Rattus norvegicus: one gene and its partners. The protein of the gene in region 3 binds, or shares a complex with, the protein of the main gene of each other region. Links are inferred from orthologs where the notes say so. Each region holds a gene or a part of one and is shown on either strand. Other genes may lie near its edges.

The links. Proteins that work in one complex are often made in the same cells at the same time.
Region 1: Stac3 (region 3) and Cacnb3 share a complex: the UniProt entries of both Homo sapiens proteins name them as parts of the calcium channel complex. The link is inferred for Rattus norvegicus from reciprocal best matches to the Homo sapiens genes STAC3 and CACNB3.
Region 2: Stac3 (region 3) and Cacnb1 share a complex: the UniProt entries of both Homo sapiens proteins name them as parts of the calcium channel complex. The link is inferred for Rattus norvegicus from reciprocal best matches to the Homo sapiens genes STAC3 and CACNB1.

The regions. Positions count from the first base shown.
Region 1 is NC_086025.1:131,668,863-131,674,174, reverse strand, and holds part of Cacnb3 (voltage-dependent L-type calcium channel subunit beta-3), read right to left. Parts: intron 3,248-5,312; coding exon 3,125-3,247; intron 2,888-3,124; coding exon 2,765-2,887; intron 2,352-2,764; coding exon 2,236-2,351; intron 1,964-2,235; coding exon 1,899-1,963; intron 1,711-1,898; coding exon 1,691-1,710; intron 1,497-1,690; coding exon 1,416-1,496; intron 1,280-1,415; coding exon 1,221-1,279; intron 1,052-1,220; coding exon 942-1,051; intron 822-941; coding exon of another isoform or gene 748-821; exon of another isoform or gene 708-747; coding exon 556-707; intron 325-555; coding exon 229-324; intron 129-228; coding exon 1-128. UniProt on the Homo sapiens protein: Regulatory subunit of the voltage-gated calcium channel that gives rise to L-type calcium currents. Increases CACNA1B peak calcium current and shifts the voltage dependencies of channel activation and inactivation.
Region 2 is NC_086028.1:83,507,523-83,512,834, reverse strand, and holds part of Cacnb1 (voltage-dependent L-type calcium channel subunit beta-1), read left to right. Parts: intron 1-507; coding exon 508-594; intron 595-1,756; exon of another isoform or gene 1,757-1,879; coding exon of another isoform or gene 1,880-1,909; intron 1,910-3,504; coding exon 3,505-3,624; intron 3,625-5,312. UniProt on the Homo sapiens protein: Regulatory subunit of L-type calcium channels. Regulates the activity of L-type calcium channels that contain CACNA1A as pore-forming subunit.
Region 3 is NC_086025.1:65,233,031-65,237,294, forward strand, and holds the end of Stac3 (SH3 and cysteine-rich domain-containing protein 3), read left to right. Parts: intron 1-1,250; coding exon 1,251-1,317; intron 1,318-1,500; coding exon 1,501-1,553; intron 1,554-1,744; coding exon 1,745-1,830; intron 1,831-1,991; coding exon 1,992-2,043; intron 2,044-2,122; coding exon 2,123-2,260; intron 2,261-2,424; coding exon 2,425-2,523; 3' UTR 2,524-2,687; coding exon of another isoform or gene 2,688-2,711; 3' UTR 2,712-2,848; downstream 2,849-4,264. UniProt on the Homo sapiens protein: Required for normal excitation-contraction coupling in skeletal muscle and for normal muscle contraction in response to membrane depolarization. Required for normal Ca(2+) release from the sarcplasmic reticulum, which ultimately leads to muscle contraction.

The sequences.
Region 1 (5,312 bases), about 66 Mb from region 3:
GGCGGACCCAGCATCCCGGGGCCCGGTGCTGGGTGGTGGGTAGCGCGCCAGTAAACCTCTAGGTATTCAGCTAGGTGCTCACAGGCGTCGTCCAGCTGGTTCTCATCCAGAATCACATCAAATGACTCCTGGAGAGAGAGCACACAGCGAGTTTGGCTTCTCTGCAGCAATGATGCTGAGCTCTAACCTCTGGCATAGGCCGTGGGTGCAGCCGACCCAAGCACTCACAGGTGGGCACTGAACCAGCTTATCATATGCCATCATCTGTACAGTGAGGTGCTTCATCTGGGACTTCCCCCTGGAGCGGATCAGTCGCTGCAGTACCTGGAGGAGAAGGGCAGGGATGGGCGTGGCGTTTCTCGTGGGCTCTGGTGAGATCTGAGCCTGGAAGGAACTAGGCTCAATTCCCACCTTGTGCTATGAATGACATTTATACTGGGTGAGGAGGACTCGGGGTGTTAAGGAATGGCAGGAAAAGGAACCGGTCACTCCAGGGAAGACCCAGGCAGAGGTGCACTGTATTCTAGGGGACCCCAGTGACCCCAGTTCACTTACCTTTGGCGAGGACACTTTGACGAAGACGATGATGGGGGCCAGTGAGGTCTTGGCTAGCTGTGCTGGGTGGTTGATGGTGTCAGCATCCAACACCACTAGCTGCAGGGATTTGGCCAGCTCGAATATGCGCTCAATCTCACTCTGCACCTCAGCTGAGGAAGGGGAGCAGCTCACCAGGGGCTCTGGCCACTGCTAACTGCCAGGGCTTCCAGAGCTGCTACACGGCGGCGAATGGAACGGACCAGCAAGCCTGGGCGGGCAGTGGACTGGGCAAGGGAGGAGGGCAGCACTTGGGACAGGTGGTGGGGCGTGGGCAAGACCACAAGGAGTTCAAGGTTTTCACTAGCATCAAGCGGGCAGAGAGCCAGGGACAAAGGACTCCTCACCAATGCTGGAGCGGGCAGAAGAGCGCTCGATGATGGTCCTCTTGCCAGGATTGTTGAGCACAGAGCGCTTGGCCAGTGAGAGGTCAGCCGTGACGCGGGTGATGGAGATCCTGGGTGTGAGGAACACACACACACACACACACACACACGCCATCTAAGTCACGGACTCCCCACACCAGCTCTCTAATTCTCCTTGAGAGGAGACCAGCTCTGGGCATGCATGCATGCGGGGGGGAATTATTTTCCTCCCGATTCTCACTCCCCTCCAGGACGGCTTACCTGCCATCAAACCTGTGTTTAAGGAAGTCGAAGAGAGCCTTCTGCATCATGTCTGTGACCTGGAGGGGAAGATGTGGTGCTGACAGAGGGCTCCAGCAAGGGGACAGTGTCCCAAAGTAAGTTTGCACCCTGCACAGACATTTCCCACGGTGGCAGCTCTGGTGGGGGTAACTCTGGGCTTGGGAGATTCCTTACCTCATAACCTTTCAGAGAGGGTCCCACCAGCACCACAGGCCGCATGGAGGGCACCACATCATACGGGGGGACATGTTCCGCCTGCAGAATGGCCAGGAGGTCAGACAAAATCTTGGTCTCGGTCAGTGCCCACTTTAGGCCTGACTGCTCTGGGGGCAGAGTGGAGAGTTCTGGGCACCCTCCCTCTGTTCTGTTGATGTCAGCAGTGGCTGACCAGGAGGGTCCCCAGAGCCAAAATCCATGACCCCCCCGGCCCAGGTCCCTTTCTGACTCACCTGCTTTTGCTTCTGCTTGGCTTTTTGGAAAAGGAAATAAAAGATTAAAGTTGGTGGAGGGAAAAGGCCCTGTGGAGCTTGGGCGTCCCTTCCCCAGGGGAGGTCAGGGTTCCCCGGCTGCTCCGATCCCTCCCGCTCCGATATCGTTCACAGGAAGGACCCCCTTGTTTGCCTACCCAAGGTGGGTAAGCTGAGGGGAGGAGGCTACCTAGAGATGGAGGAGGGGAACGTCGGTTGCCAATGTCACTCAGGCTGGAAGGGTTCCCGGATCTCCTGACAGAAAGGGGACAGTAAAAATGTCTATACAGTTCTCTATGTTAAAGTTTTACAAATTAGTAACTACGTTTATGACAGCTGGGCATCTACGGTGTGTGTGTGTGTGTGTAGTTGTGTGTGTGTGTGTAGTTGTGTGTGTGTAGTTGTGTGTGTGTGTAGTTGTGCGTGTCTGTGTGTGTAATTGTGTGGTGTAAATGTGTAGCTGCGTTCTGTGGGTGCAGTATTACATGTTCGGGGGAGTGTGTATTGAATCTCAGCACTGTTCTCACCTGGCCTTCTGTTCCTGTTTGAGCCGGATGCTCTCCAGGCGTTGGGGGCTGGGGATGAAGGCAATATCGCCACCTTCTTTCACTAGCCTCCCGATCCACCAGTCATTGCTGTACTTCTGGGAGGGAATAAGAAGAGGGAAGAGCAGTGAGAGATGCTCCTCAGGGAGGACTCTGGGACGCTGGCACAAGGAAAGCAGAGGGAGGGCCAAGGAACGTGTAATGGTGTCATAGAACAAGACAGCCAGGTTCGAGCCGCAGGCCGTTGCGCTTCAGGGTGTGGAATCCCGGATGTCACCACAAGACCACTGGTTGCTTAGTTACTCTACCCTCCCAGACAGAACTCAGGACCAAGCCAGGTCTGAGAATGGTGGGAACCGAGGGATCAGGCCCCGTGTAAGGGGCATACAGGCATGCACGCAGAGAAGCTGGCTTGTTTTAGATATAGAACTAAAGAGGCACTGGAGGCCGTGACAGCAAACAGAAGAATTAAGTGTTAGAGTAGGCTTCCGGGGAGAGTAAGGTTCATTACCTCTTTAATGTGCAGAAAATCTTTGGCCTCGAAGTTGACTCCAGAGCCCTGGACTGGGCATTCCTCATCCAGAACTCCACAGTAGCTGACATTGGTCCTCACAGCAAATGCCACAGGTTTGTGCTGGGGAATTTGATCATGGGGCCGTGAGAGAGAGTCACCTCACAGTACCTCAGGGGGAGGCAGAGGCCCAGACAAGAAAGCTGCTACAGGCATACACTTTTCCACAGGTGACTTACACCCTGACATGCCCCTGGGGACCTAAGATTCTGCACAGATTCGTGCCCAGCCTAGCCTCCCACCAGCACACACACACACACACACACACACACACACACACACACACACACACACACACACCTTGGCTCTTTCCAGCTGCTGCTGAGCCTGACTCTCCACTTCTCGCCGGGCACTCTCCCGGTCCTCCTCCAGGGAAACGTCTGAGTCCAGAGAGGGGCGGCTGGTGTAGGAGTCGGCTGAACCCTGGACGGGAGAATCTGTGTAAAAGGGACCATACGGGCCTCCTCCTAGCCCTGATGCAGCTTCTCCATCTTCTAGGGGATGATTTGACCCCCTAAGCTGCTTCCTGTGTGTCTCCTGGTGTCTCTAAGGCTACAGGGAAGCCGCCCAATCTGTATGTGCAAAGTTCAGGGCCTTCTACCCCGCACCTGGATTTCTGAATGAAATCTTTACCTTTTTCTCTCCCTTCTCCCCTGTACTAAATATCAAAATACTAAAGACAATGTATTCGAGATGGTGTTAAATCCAGGGGACCGTCTCTTATCTCCATGTTAGCCTGAAGTAGCCGGGACATTATCCCTTTAAGATGACTGGAAAGGGGCTGGAGAGATGACTCAGTGGTTGAGAGCACTGACTGCTCTTCCAGAGGTCCTGAGTTCAAATCCCAGCAACCACACGGTGGCTCACGACCATCTGGAATGAGATCTGAAGACAGCTAGAGTGTACAATAAATATTACAATAAACAAATCTTTAGAAACAAACAGCTTTAAATTAAAAAAAAAAGATGACTAGAGTACACCTAGCTAAGAGATGCCTGGGGTTGGGGATTTGGCTCAGCGGTAGAGCACTTGCCTAGGAAGCGCAAGGTCCTGGGTTCGATCCCCAGCCCTGGGGCGGGGGGGGGGGGGAGATGCCAGCTGCACACCAGCGCTTGGGGGGGTCAATTTAGTAGCTAAGAGACTTACACCTTCTGGGCTGCATGAGACCAACCCCCTCACCCTCAAGACCAGGATGGTATGAAGGCATTTGCTGTTCAAACATGACCTGAGGTAAATCCAGGGGACCAACAGAAGTAGAGAAGCCATCTCTGAAAATACACAGTAAGCTAAAACATACACACAGAGCAGCATGTGTGTGTGTGTGTGTGTGTGTGTGTGTGTGTCTGAGCTTAACACACTTACACAGACTCTATGCACAGTAAATGAAAACATACAGTGGCATGCATATGTCTGACCTTACACACACACACATGAATCCTGTGGTGGTGGCACCTGGCCTACAGAGTGATTTCCAAGGCAACACAGAGAAACTCTGTCTTAAAAACCAAACCAGGGGTTGGGGATTTGGCTCAGTGGTACAGCACTTGCCTAGCAAGCGCAAGGACCTGGGTTCGGTCCCCAGCTCCGAGAAAAAAAAAAAAAAAAAAAAAACCAAACCAATACACACGAGAGAGGGGGGTGGGGGGACAGAGAGACAGAGAGAGACAGAGGGAGGGGAAGGAGGGAGAGAGGGGGAGAGAGAGAGAGAGACACCTGTCTGTCTCCCAGGTGCTTGTGTACCCCGACAGCTGGCTTCCAACAAGGTTTCTGAAAGCTGTCAAACAGATATGAGTGCTTTGCCTTGCCTTGTGTGTGAAGGCTGAAGACAGGACCAAAGCTACAGACTCCTTGGCTCCCCCCACTTTCTTTCCTTCTCAGTCCTGTGGGGACTGGACAGGTGTGAGTAATACAGACAGGTACACCTGGCCTGTATCTCTCTATCCTGGGCCCAAGGGACAGCAGGGCCTGGAGGGAGACTGTACCAGGCAACCCAGATGACATACAGGACCTCGGGGAAGGGATAGACATTGAGTCCTGCCCTTAGTAGGGTCCTGGGGCAAGAAGCCTACATTTGGAGAGTTACAGAGTTCACCTTCTCCGAAAGGAGGACGGGCCAGATGAATAGGGGAAGCTCAACTTTTGAGACAAGCGGCTGAAAGTTAAGAAATGAAACCTTTTCCGACTCCGTGTCTCCTATGTGCAGGAGCCTGGAGGAATTCTTCCCAGTATTCCAAGATGTCAGCACCACAGAAAAAAAGCTTACAGGCTAGGTAAAAGGATGTGCGTAAGGAAAGAGGTTTCAGGATGTTGAGGCTGAAGAAACAGTCTCTTAAAGCCACAGGCTATGACTACCTACCCACAAGCAGCAGAAGCCAGACTCCTCTTTGGAAAAGGCAAACTCACACCCCGCTGTCAACCAGGCCTGGGGCCCAGCGCTGCGTGTGCAGGGCGAAGGCAGGCCAGGTTGGCTCAGGCAGCCCTGGAATCT
Region 2 (5,312 bases), on a different chromosome or scaffold from region 3:
CGGGAGAAACCAAGCCTGGCCCTGGGTTGCCTTTTCTCCTCTCTCTGGGGGCATAGCACACTCTGCCCCCTCAGCTCCAGATGCAGGGGAGAGGACGTCCCCCTCTCTTCCTCTGCCCCCCAGCGCTGCAGGCAGCCTCTCCCTTCCCCCCGAGGCTGCCGCAGCCCTGCCCAGCATCTTAATTAGCTTTGCTGCCTAACGAGCCTTCTATTCCTCGGGCTTTCTGCTTCCCAGCCTTCCACTTGATTCGGGGATTCCTGGGTGTGCATCTCAGGCTCTCTTGCACGGTTCCTCATGGTGGCTGTTGTCTGGGCACTGTCCGTGAGGTGGAAGACCCTCTTTTCTTTCAGACTGGTTACCTCTAGGAGGAGAAGCTGAAGTGGGGGTGGGGCAGAGCGGAGAGTCCCCAGCTAGGCTGACCGTATACAGCCCCAGCCCCGGCAGGAGGTGGACTGGGAAGGCAGGCGTCTTTCTGATTCCACTCTTGTTCCTTCCCCACCTCTCCAGGGCAAATACAGCAAGAGGAAAGGGCGGTTCAAAAGGTCAGATGGGAGCACCTCCTCAGATACCACATCCAACAGCTTTGTCCGTCAGGTAACAGGGAAGAGGGCTTGGGAGATGCAGCTGACTGGTGCAGACTGCCTTTCGACGTTCTCGCGGGGCACCTTTTCTCACGTCACTTGTCACCTGCCTGGAACTACCACACCCGACGCCCCGTGACCTCTCTGCACCCACTGCTTCCGCCCCTCCAGCACCAGCTCCCAGCCCCTGCTGCCTGCCTGCCTGCCTGCCTGCGTCATCTCATTCAGGGACAGCCTGGCCTGCCTCCTCCTGGCTTGCTTCGGGCTGTCACCCACTCCCCCTGCCGGCTGTGTGCTTCCATGTCCTCCCCCAGAATCTGTGGTGGGGTGGGGCTGAGGCAGGTGCATGGAAATAAGCTGAGATACCGGGCTCTAGTCAGGAATGGGTCAGGAACATACTCTCTCCACTCCAAACGTCACTCTTGTAAATATGCAGAGAGAGAGAGAGCAACGTGTGGGATAAGGGGTGTTTTATTTTACAGGGATGTAGCCTGTATCCCTAGCTGGAGTTGGTGTTGACAGTAGTTCTCTGGGCCCTCATGCTGAGCTGGGAAAACTGCCACTTTCCTCTCTTCCCTCAACCCCAGGCCATCTTAGGCTGGGGAGAGGCAGTGAGGAGGCATGTGGTTGCTATGACGACTGAGCATCTCAACAAAGCCTGGTACCCGGAAAAGGCAAGGGGGGCTCGGGATCAGACAAGGAAAGGCGTGTGGTGAGAGGGCAGAGGACACTTGGTAGGAGGAGCCCCCTGGGGTAAGAGCCCCACTGGGTCCACAAAGAAGTAGTAGTAGTAGCAGGCAGATCGGGCAGACCCATCGCTGACTGAACTGAGTACTTTATTTTGAGTTCCTCTGCCTCTGGGTTTTCATGTGTGAGCTCGGGCCTAGCTCCAGAGACCCAAGGGAGGTTTTGATCTGAGTGTGTCTAAAATACACAAACAGATCCAAGGTTCTTTCCGTAGTAATCATTCCTTTAGCCCTCCTGTTCCAGAACTGGCCAGTGCCAGGTCTAGAAACAGTGACACCATGCTTTTGTTGTTAAGACAGGAAGAGCCTTCAGCTTCCCCTTGCCAGCCAAGGGGTTAGACCCCCACAGACTCCCATTCTTCTTCTCTTAGCTTCCCAAGTCCTACTCCCAGTAGGTGGCAGGAGTGGGGGGCAGACCTTGCCACATCTCTGAGCTAAATATACCCTAGCAGTTTGCACATGTAGCAATTCTGCTTGTAACCTGAGCTCCTGGGGGAACGGGCTGTGTGGGCCACCCCTAGGCCGGCAGGGCTGGGCACTGAGGGCGCCGGGATGGAGGTGCCCAGCCGGACCCTGGTAGTGGTGAGCTGGGCATGGGGCAGGTGGTGGGTGGGTGGAAGAATCCCTCAAACTGCTGTCGAGGGCCTTTCTGCAGCCCATCTCTTTGCTCCTTTACTCTGCCTGTCTCCCATTTCTGGCTGTGTGTGTGTGTGTGTGTGTGTGTGTGTGTGTGTGTGTGTGTGTGTCTGTGTGTGTGTGTGTCTGTGTGTGTGTGTGTGTGTCTGTGTGTGTGTATGCATATGCATATGGGAGTCTGCTGGGGTCAGTGGCTGCCTCTCTGTCCATCTCTACTTGTCTCTGGGCACCTGTCTGGCATCTGTATTCTTGTTTTGGGGGACTGTGTAACAAGGGAGAATGGGGGTCTTTTGCTTCTCCCCCTGGTTCTGGGTCTCTCCAGGTTTAATTAGTCACCCAAATGTCTAGCCTACCCTTCCTCAAGTGAACTCCCATTCTAGGATTTTCCCTGGGAACGTAATGCTTGTCTCACCTGATGACTTAGGGAGAGGTAGGTCTTCGCCTCCACTCTCCCAATACAAACCAATGGACAATCCCGGCCAAGTGACTTTTTCCTGCCCTCAGGAGAAATCCCTCACATACCTGTAACTCCATGTCTTCTCTGTATTCCCTCCTAGACTTGTCTGCCGCCCACCCCCTCCCGAAGTCACACCAAATCCATGCATCCTGTCCTCCGCCACCCTTTGTCTCCCACACTCAGGGACACAGACCTCTGGGACGCCCTTAGTGTCTCAATTGTTCACACCCAGCACACACTCTGGAAGCCACATTCTCGAGCATACTTTTTTGTATCCCGAAATATACACACGTCTGCGCATTCGTGAGCAGTGCCGTGACATCTGTATGGCTTCCATGTGTCTCATCTGATAGATGTGTTGCTACCGGAGTCCTTGGCACTCTGGGACGGTGACTGTAGTCCGCCTTGGGTTCCTGTCACACTCACTCTTCACAACGGGACTTTCTGCCATCTAGCAGCCTAGTGTCAGGGCAGGGACCTATCTTCCACTCTCCCTCACACCTCCTGCTGCTCTGCCCTGAAAATCATAAGGCAGCTTGGCCCTATTCACAAATTCCCAGCCAGAGGAGTTGGGGAGGTGGGTGTTTTGCTCCCCTGAATCTTGATCAACAGTTTTGGTGGCCCTGTGATCCCAGTAGATGCCATGGGCAGCGGTGGGGATTCAGGCCTGAGAAGGTGGCTACAGTCCCTGCAAAGGATGGCGTTGAGTTTCTGCTATGCCTCCTCGGCCACTCAGGGGCAGGGCAGAGAAGGAGGAGCTGAGAGTTAGAGTCATCCCCTGGCACTCCTCCCTCGGGCTGTGCCCCTATCAGGTTCCCGCCCCTCCCAAGCCCCAAGCAGCTGTCATTAGACCTGCCTTAACCTCCAGCTGGCTGCTGTCACCTTTCCTAGGGTCACACTCGTCCCACAGGCTTGCAAACTTTGACCCCTGGCCTCTTTGTTCTAATAATACCTCCTTTCTTGGCCTTGTGGGATTGTGCTGGGCTGATGGGGTTTTGGATTTTTAGAATGGGTGGCATCTCCATGCCGTCCCAGGAGTCAGAAGAAGTGATGCTGGCCTTCAGCTGGTCCTCTCTGCTTTCAGGGCTCAGCAGAGTCCTACACGAGCCGGCCGTCAGACTCCGACGTGTCCCTGGAGGAGGACCGGGAAGCCTTAAGGAAGGAGGCAGAGCGCCAGGCCTTAGCCCAGCTCGAGAAAGCCAAGGTGAGACTAAAAGACCTGTGGGCATCACCTGTGGGCATTATCCCATCCCCTCCCCCACCCTCCATCCTGAGAGAGCCTGGGCAGACTGTCAAGTTTTGGATGAGTTGCTTACAGAGGTCTGTGCCTGTGTCTTTCCCCTGTGAAGAAAGTGTAGGCTGTGATGGTCTCTTCTTCCTCACGCAGCATGTGAAGGGTCTGGTGCTAGTTCCACCTCGCTTGACAAGTGATGGACTTTGCTTCTTCCTGGGCAAGGGACGTAGCTCAATGTAGAGTGCTTGCCTCGCTGGCACAAGGTCCTGGGTCCGTTCTCCAACGCCACAAGGACAATAAACCCACTTTCTACAATCCAGCTATCCCTGCACCTACACACACACACACACACACACACACACACACACACACACACACACATGCGTGCGCGCATGGGCATGTGTTTATGGTATACACGTGTGTGTGCACACACCCACCAATGCTGTAATGTAGGCCAGAGGTCAGTGTTCGGTGTCTTCCTCGGTTGTTCCTTACTGACCCTGAAGCTTTCCATCTTGACCTTACTGGCCTGCCTGGATCCACCTGTCTCTGCTGTGAAACCCCAGTGCTCAGGTTCCAGATGTGCACCTCTGTTCCTGGCCTACATATGTGCTAGGGTATTTGTCTAGGGGTGGGACATTGCCACCCCAGGAGAGGATGTCGGCCAGAAGTCTCAGGGCCAATCGACCTCTGACCGCACCCATCCCCACTTTTCCATGACAGCATAGTGTACACAAAACAATGTACCTGATGCTCTGGAAGTACTAACAAGGTTAAATGTCATATTCTAGGTTCCCTTTTTTTTTTTTAGAGACAAGGTTTTTCTGTAGCCCTGGTTGTCCTGGAACTTACTCCGTAGGCCAGGCTAGCCTTGAACTCACAGAGATCTGCCTGCTTCTGCCTCCTAAGAGTTGGGATTAAAGGCATACACTACCACCAGCCCCACCAAATTCTAAATTCTTTTAAAAGACTGCTTTATTGGGGCTGGACAGATGGCTCAGCAGTTAAGAGGATTATCCGCTTTTCCAGAGGTCCTGAGTTCCATTCCCAGCAACCACATGGCTCACAACCATTTGTAATGGGATCTGACGCCCTCTTCTGGTGTGTAGATGTACATGCAGATAGAGCATTCATATACATAAAATAAGTAAGTGAATCTTAAAAGAAAAGTTCGCTTTATTTATTTGTTTGGAGACGGGGTCTCATTATATAGCTTTGGCTATCTTGGAACTCACTATACAGACTAGACTGGCCTTTCAAGTGCTGTGCTTAAAAATGCCCTACTGGGCTGGTGAGATAGTTCAGTGGTTAAGAGCACTGACTGCTCTTCCAGAGGTCCTGAGTTCAATTCCCAGCAACCACATGGTGGCTCACAACCATCTGTAATGGGATCCAATGACCACTTCTGGTGTGTCTGAAGACAGCTACAGTGTACTTATAAAATATTAAAGAAAAAAAAAGTGTACTAGCACACAGGGCCTCAATATCTCTATCTATCTATCTATCTATCTATCTATCTATCTATCCATCCATCCATCTATCTATCTAGTACTTATGTGTGTTTCTGTATGCTAAGCTTGTATAGATGCCCACAAAGTCCAGAAGAAGGCATATGAAACCTGGAGCAGGAGTTATAGTCCATTGTGAGCCACTTGTGG
Region 3 (4,264 bases):
AAATTTACTTTTCTTGGATTGGAAAAAACAAAAAGACTGCCCAGAAGCAAAGCTAGAGATCTGATGTCAAAACAGCTAATAGAAGGCTTGGGTAGAGATAACAGCCTTCAGTTGGCCAGCTGTGGTTCAGGGAAAACACCCATTTTCTTAGAGCCTCTTCTCAACAGGGAAACGTGAAAAGTTGTCGTCGCCAGATAGGTAAGGTGAGGCACACCCGTCATCCCAGCACTGGGGAGCTGGAGACCAGGAGATAAGAAATCCAAGATCAGGGGTTGGGGATTTAGCTCAATGGTAGAGCGCTTGCCTAGCAAGCGCAAGGCCCTGGGTTCGGTCCCCAGCTCCGAAAAAAAGAAAAGAAAAAAAAAAAAGAAAGAAAGAAATCCAAGATCAGTCCTGGCCAGGTAAAGTGAGGACAGCTGAGCTGATGAGACTGTCTCAAATCAACCAAGAGGAGAGGAAAACAGAGAGAAGTGTGCTGTCCCCCCCCCACACACACACACATGCCTTTTCTTACACATTGGAGTATTGTTAAGCAGACAGTATAATGAAGGGCCTGAAGCCTAGTCATAGGGGTGATTTGAAGGGACTAAAGAGTACTGGGGAAGAGAAGCCAGAAGGCATATGTCTGCTGTCCTTGGATATTTAAAGGGACCCTGTTTGGGTCAACATTTAAAGCTCCAGACAGGGCTGGAGAGGTGGCTCAGCGGTTAAGAGCACTGACTGCTCTTCCAGAGGTCCTGAGTTCAATTCCCAGCAACCACATGGTGGCTCACAACCATCTGTAATGGGATCTGGTGCCCTCTTCTGATGTGTCTGAAGACAGCTGCAGTGTACTCATATAAATAAAAATAAATAAATCTTTAAAAAAACAAACAAACAAAAAAGTGCCAGACAGTAAATCAAGACAAAGAATTTTTCTTTTTTTTTTTTTCCCGGAGCTGGGGACCGAACCCAGGGCCTTGCGCTCGCTAGGCAAGCGCTCTACCGCTGAGCTAAATCCCCAACCCGACAAAGAATTTTTCAAATCGAATGGGTTGTATTGTAAGGTAACAAACTCCCCGGCACAGTATGGGTGACATTCTTGAATTCTTCTGGTGGTTGGACTAGATATCTAGGTGGTTGGAGTGATCTCCAAGCACTCTCCCACAGCTGAAGTACTATTGCTCTACTACTCTCTGGCCTGCCTGGAGAGGCAAAGGAAACACAGGATCCCAAGACAGCTTGTCTCTAACTCTGGTGTCCCCCTCTAGCCTCTGGCAGCCATGATGGAGGAGGAGCCAGAGTCAGCCAGGCCAGAGGAGGGCAAGTCACAGGATGGTGAGTGTCAGTCATCTGCATCCTTAGAAGATGGGATGGGGTGTAGTGGGGGTTTAGCTGCTGTCTAGCAGGCAGAGAGAGAACAGCTGAACCCAGGGTGAGAAAGGTCCACCAACGCAAGTGGGAGGAGTCATGGATGCTCTCCTGGAGGCAGAAGCAATTTGTCCGTATTTCCTGCCCAAGGAAACGATGCAGAAAAGGACAAGAAGGCTGAGAAGAAAACACCTGATGATAAAGTAAGTCTTTCCTCCCTGTAGAACCCTGGTCTCTTCCCAGTCAAAGTCTGACTTCATTCAGAGCTCTCCCCATCACCCCCACACACACACACTCACACACTCCGCACTGAGACAGACACACAAACCAACACAGCCCGCTCCTGGAAGAGGTAAATAGAGTCTGGTAACCCACCACCCCCTTGTACCCCCAGAACAAGCAACCTGGTTTCCAGCAGTCTCATTACTTTGTGGCTCTCTATCGGTTCAAAGCCCTGGAGAAGGATGATCTGGATTTCCCGTGAGGAACCTTCAAGGGAGGCGGGAGTGTGGGGAGCACTGAGGAGTAAGAGATGAGTTCTCTGTGGGAACAGAGGGGGGCAGAAGGGTGGGTGCCCTGCCTCACAGCCAGGCACTGGCATGTGAATGTAAATCACAGGGAAGATCTCCTTTCTATCCCAGACCAGGGGAGAAGATCACAGTCATTGATGACTCCAATGAGGAGTGGTGGCGGGTAAGACATGACTACCACCAAGGTGGGAGACAGGTAGTCTAGAACCTAAGACCTTCAGCCTATCCACTGCCTTCTCTAGGGGAAAATCGGAGAGAAGGTGGGATTCTTCCCTCCAAACTTCATCATTCGGGTCCGGGCTGGAGAACGTGTGCACCGTGTAACCAGATCCTTTGTGGGAAACCGCGAGATTGGGCAGATCACTCTCAAGAAGGACCAGGTATCTCGGGTGCCTTAACCTAATCTCAGGCCTGGTCGCACCTCTCCATCCACACACCTCGGAGGAAGATCCTAACTCATTAGTGTAAACGACCCTCTCCAGCGTCCCTGCGCCCATCTTTCTGTCCTTAATTTTTCCTATTCCCCAATCCTTTAAACCCCTAGATCGTAGTGCAGAAAGGAGATGAAGCTGGTGGCTACGTCAAGGTCTACACCGGCCGCAAGGTGGGGCTGTTTCCCACCGACTTCCTGGAGGAGATTTAGGTGTACTGGCGCCTGCTGGCGGGAGACACCCACGCCCCGTTCTGGGCGGGGCCCAGTGCGGGCTGGGGAGGGAAGGGGCAGGGGGACGAGGAGGGTCGGAAAGGCCCACCAGAGCATAATGACGTTTCTGGGGAGGGTCTGGCTCCTACCTCTCCCCTGCCTAGGGCTTCGGATACCTGGTGCGCTGAGCATCCTGCACCGATAAGGCCCACACTTCAGGTCCATCCAAACCTCAAGAGCTTTGGGGTGAGGGTGGGGAAGCATCTCCATAAGGAGGGGCAGAGCTGTCAAATGTTTGGAATTTATTAAAGTTTTGACAAAAGTTAGAAAAGTCTGTTTTTTTACGGACGAAGAGAAGCCCTGTGGAGGGAGGGAAAATAGAAGATCCCCTGGCTGCCCCACCAAATTGTCAGGTTTTGGAACCCCAAGGCTGGTGTGAGTAGTCAGACTTGCACTCGCTAGGCTAGACTTCTGCTGGAAGTGAGGAAAAAAGCCGGACTGGAATCTCCAGCGCAGTGCCCCCGTGGTTGAGAGAATAGCATGGCAGAGTAGGTACCTCCGTTAGATCATGCCCATTTAGCCCTTGGAATTCTGAACCTGGCTCAGAGCCCAGCTTGGCCACCAGGGGGCGATGCAAGATCTCAGTTGGAGAGAGGGGGGGATGGGGAGGGGCTGGAGGGGTGGCTAAGGGGAGAGAACCGGAGACACCAAGCCTGAGACCCTAGGCCTGGGAGGGGGGTGGGGTGCGTGCCGTCTCCATGGCAACACTTCCTCTAGTCCTCCGGGAATGGAGCAAGCGAGGCCGGGGGGCCTAACCCCTCCCGCACGGCCCCTGCCCCAGCCCTTTTCCGACAGGTACGGAGAGGACGCCTGCCAGACAGCTAACCGGCTCTAGCGGAGACCCCCCCTGCGGCGCGTCGTATGCAAATGTTATTATTTGCATATGCAAATATGCAAATGTTCCGGCCCTGGTCAGGGCGGCAGGTGGTGAGGAGCGGGAAGGTGTGCGGAAGGGAGCAGAAGGAGATGAGGAGTTTGGGGACCTAGGAACCGACCATTGAGAAGCAGCTTGGGGTGGTCGCTGGAGTGGGGCAGGCGGAGGGTCTTGGGTTTGATAGCGGGTGGGGGAGGGTCGGCCTGGCCAGCCAGAAGCTCCTCTTCTACTCTATGGGTTGTCTGCCAGGACTGAGGTTGGCACCGCCTAGCAAGGTTGGCAGCGGGAGCCCGGGCACCATCTGCTGCTGGAGGAGGGGGGAGGGCAGAGGCTCAGCTGGGCTGAGAAGAGGAGGGCCCCGGGACGGGCACCCCTCCCCTTCTGCACAGAAAGATGAGGTGTGCTGGGGGTAGGGAAGCGAACAACAAAACTCGCTGCAAAACTGGGTTCAGTTCCTTGTTCCCTTCGCCCTTGGCCGTTACACTCGAAGCCTGGCGGTGTGAGGGCCAGGACCTTAGAGGAACACTCACAGTCCCCCTTTTTATCATGACTGGACTGGAACAGGAGCAGATCACACAGACACACACACACACACACACACACACACACACAAGTCAACCTATTCTTTTGCCCCATTCCTCCTGGGAGTCTGCCTACCACAAGTAAGGGGAGGGAGGACAAGGACCTGCCTGTAGTCATCAAGAGGTCTGAGAGATTCCAAATCTGAGCCCCTCCGACTGTCAAGAGCCCCCCAAAAATACTGAAGCAAAACCAATTTACTGGCTCATTGGGCGGCAGTGTTGATGT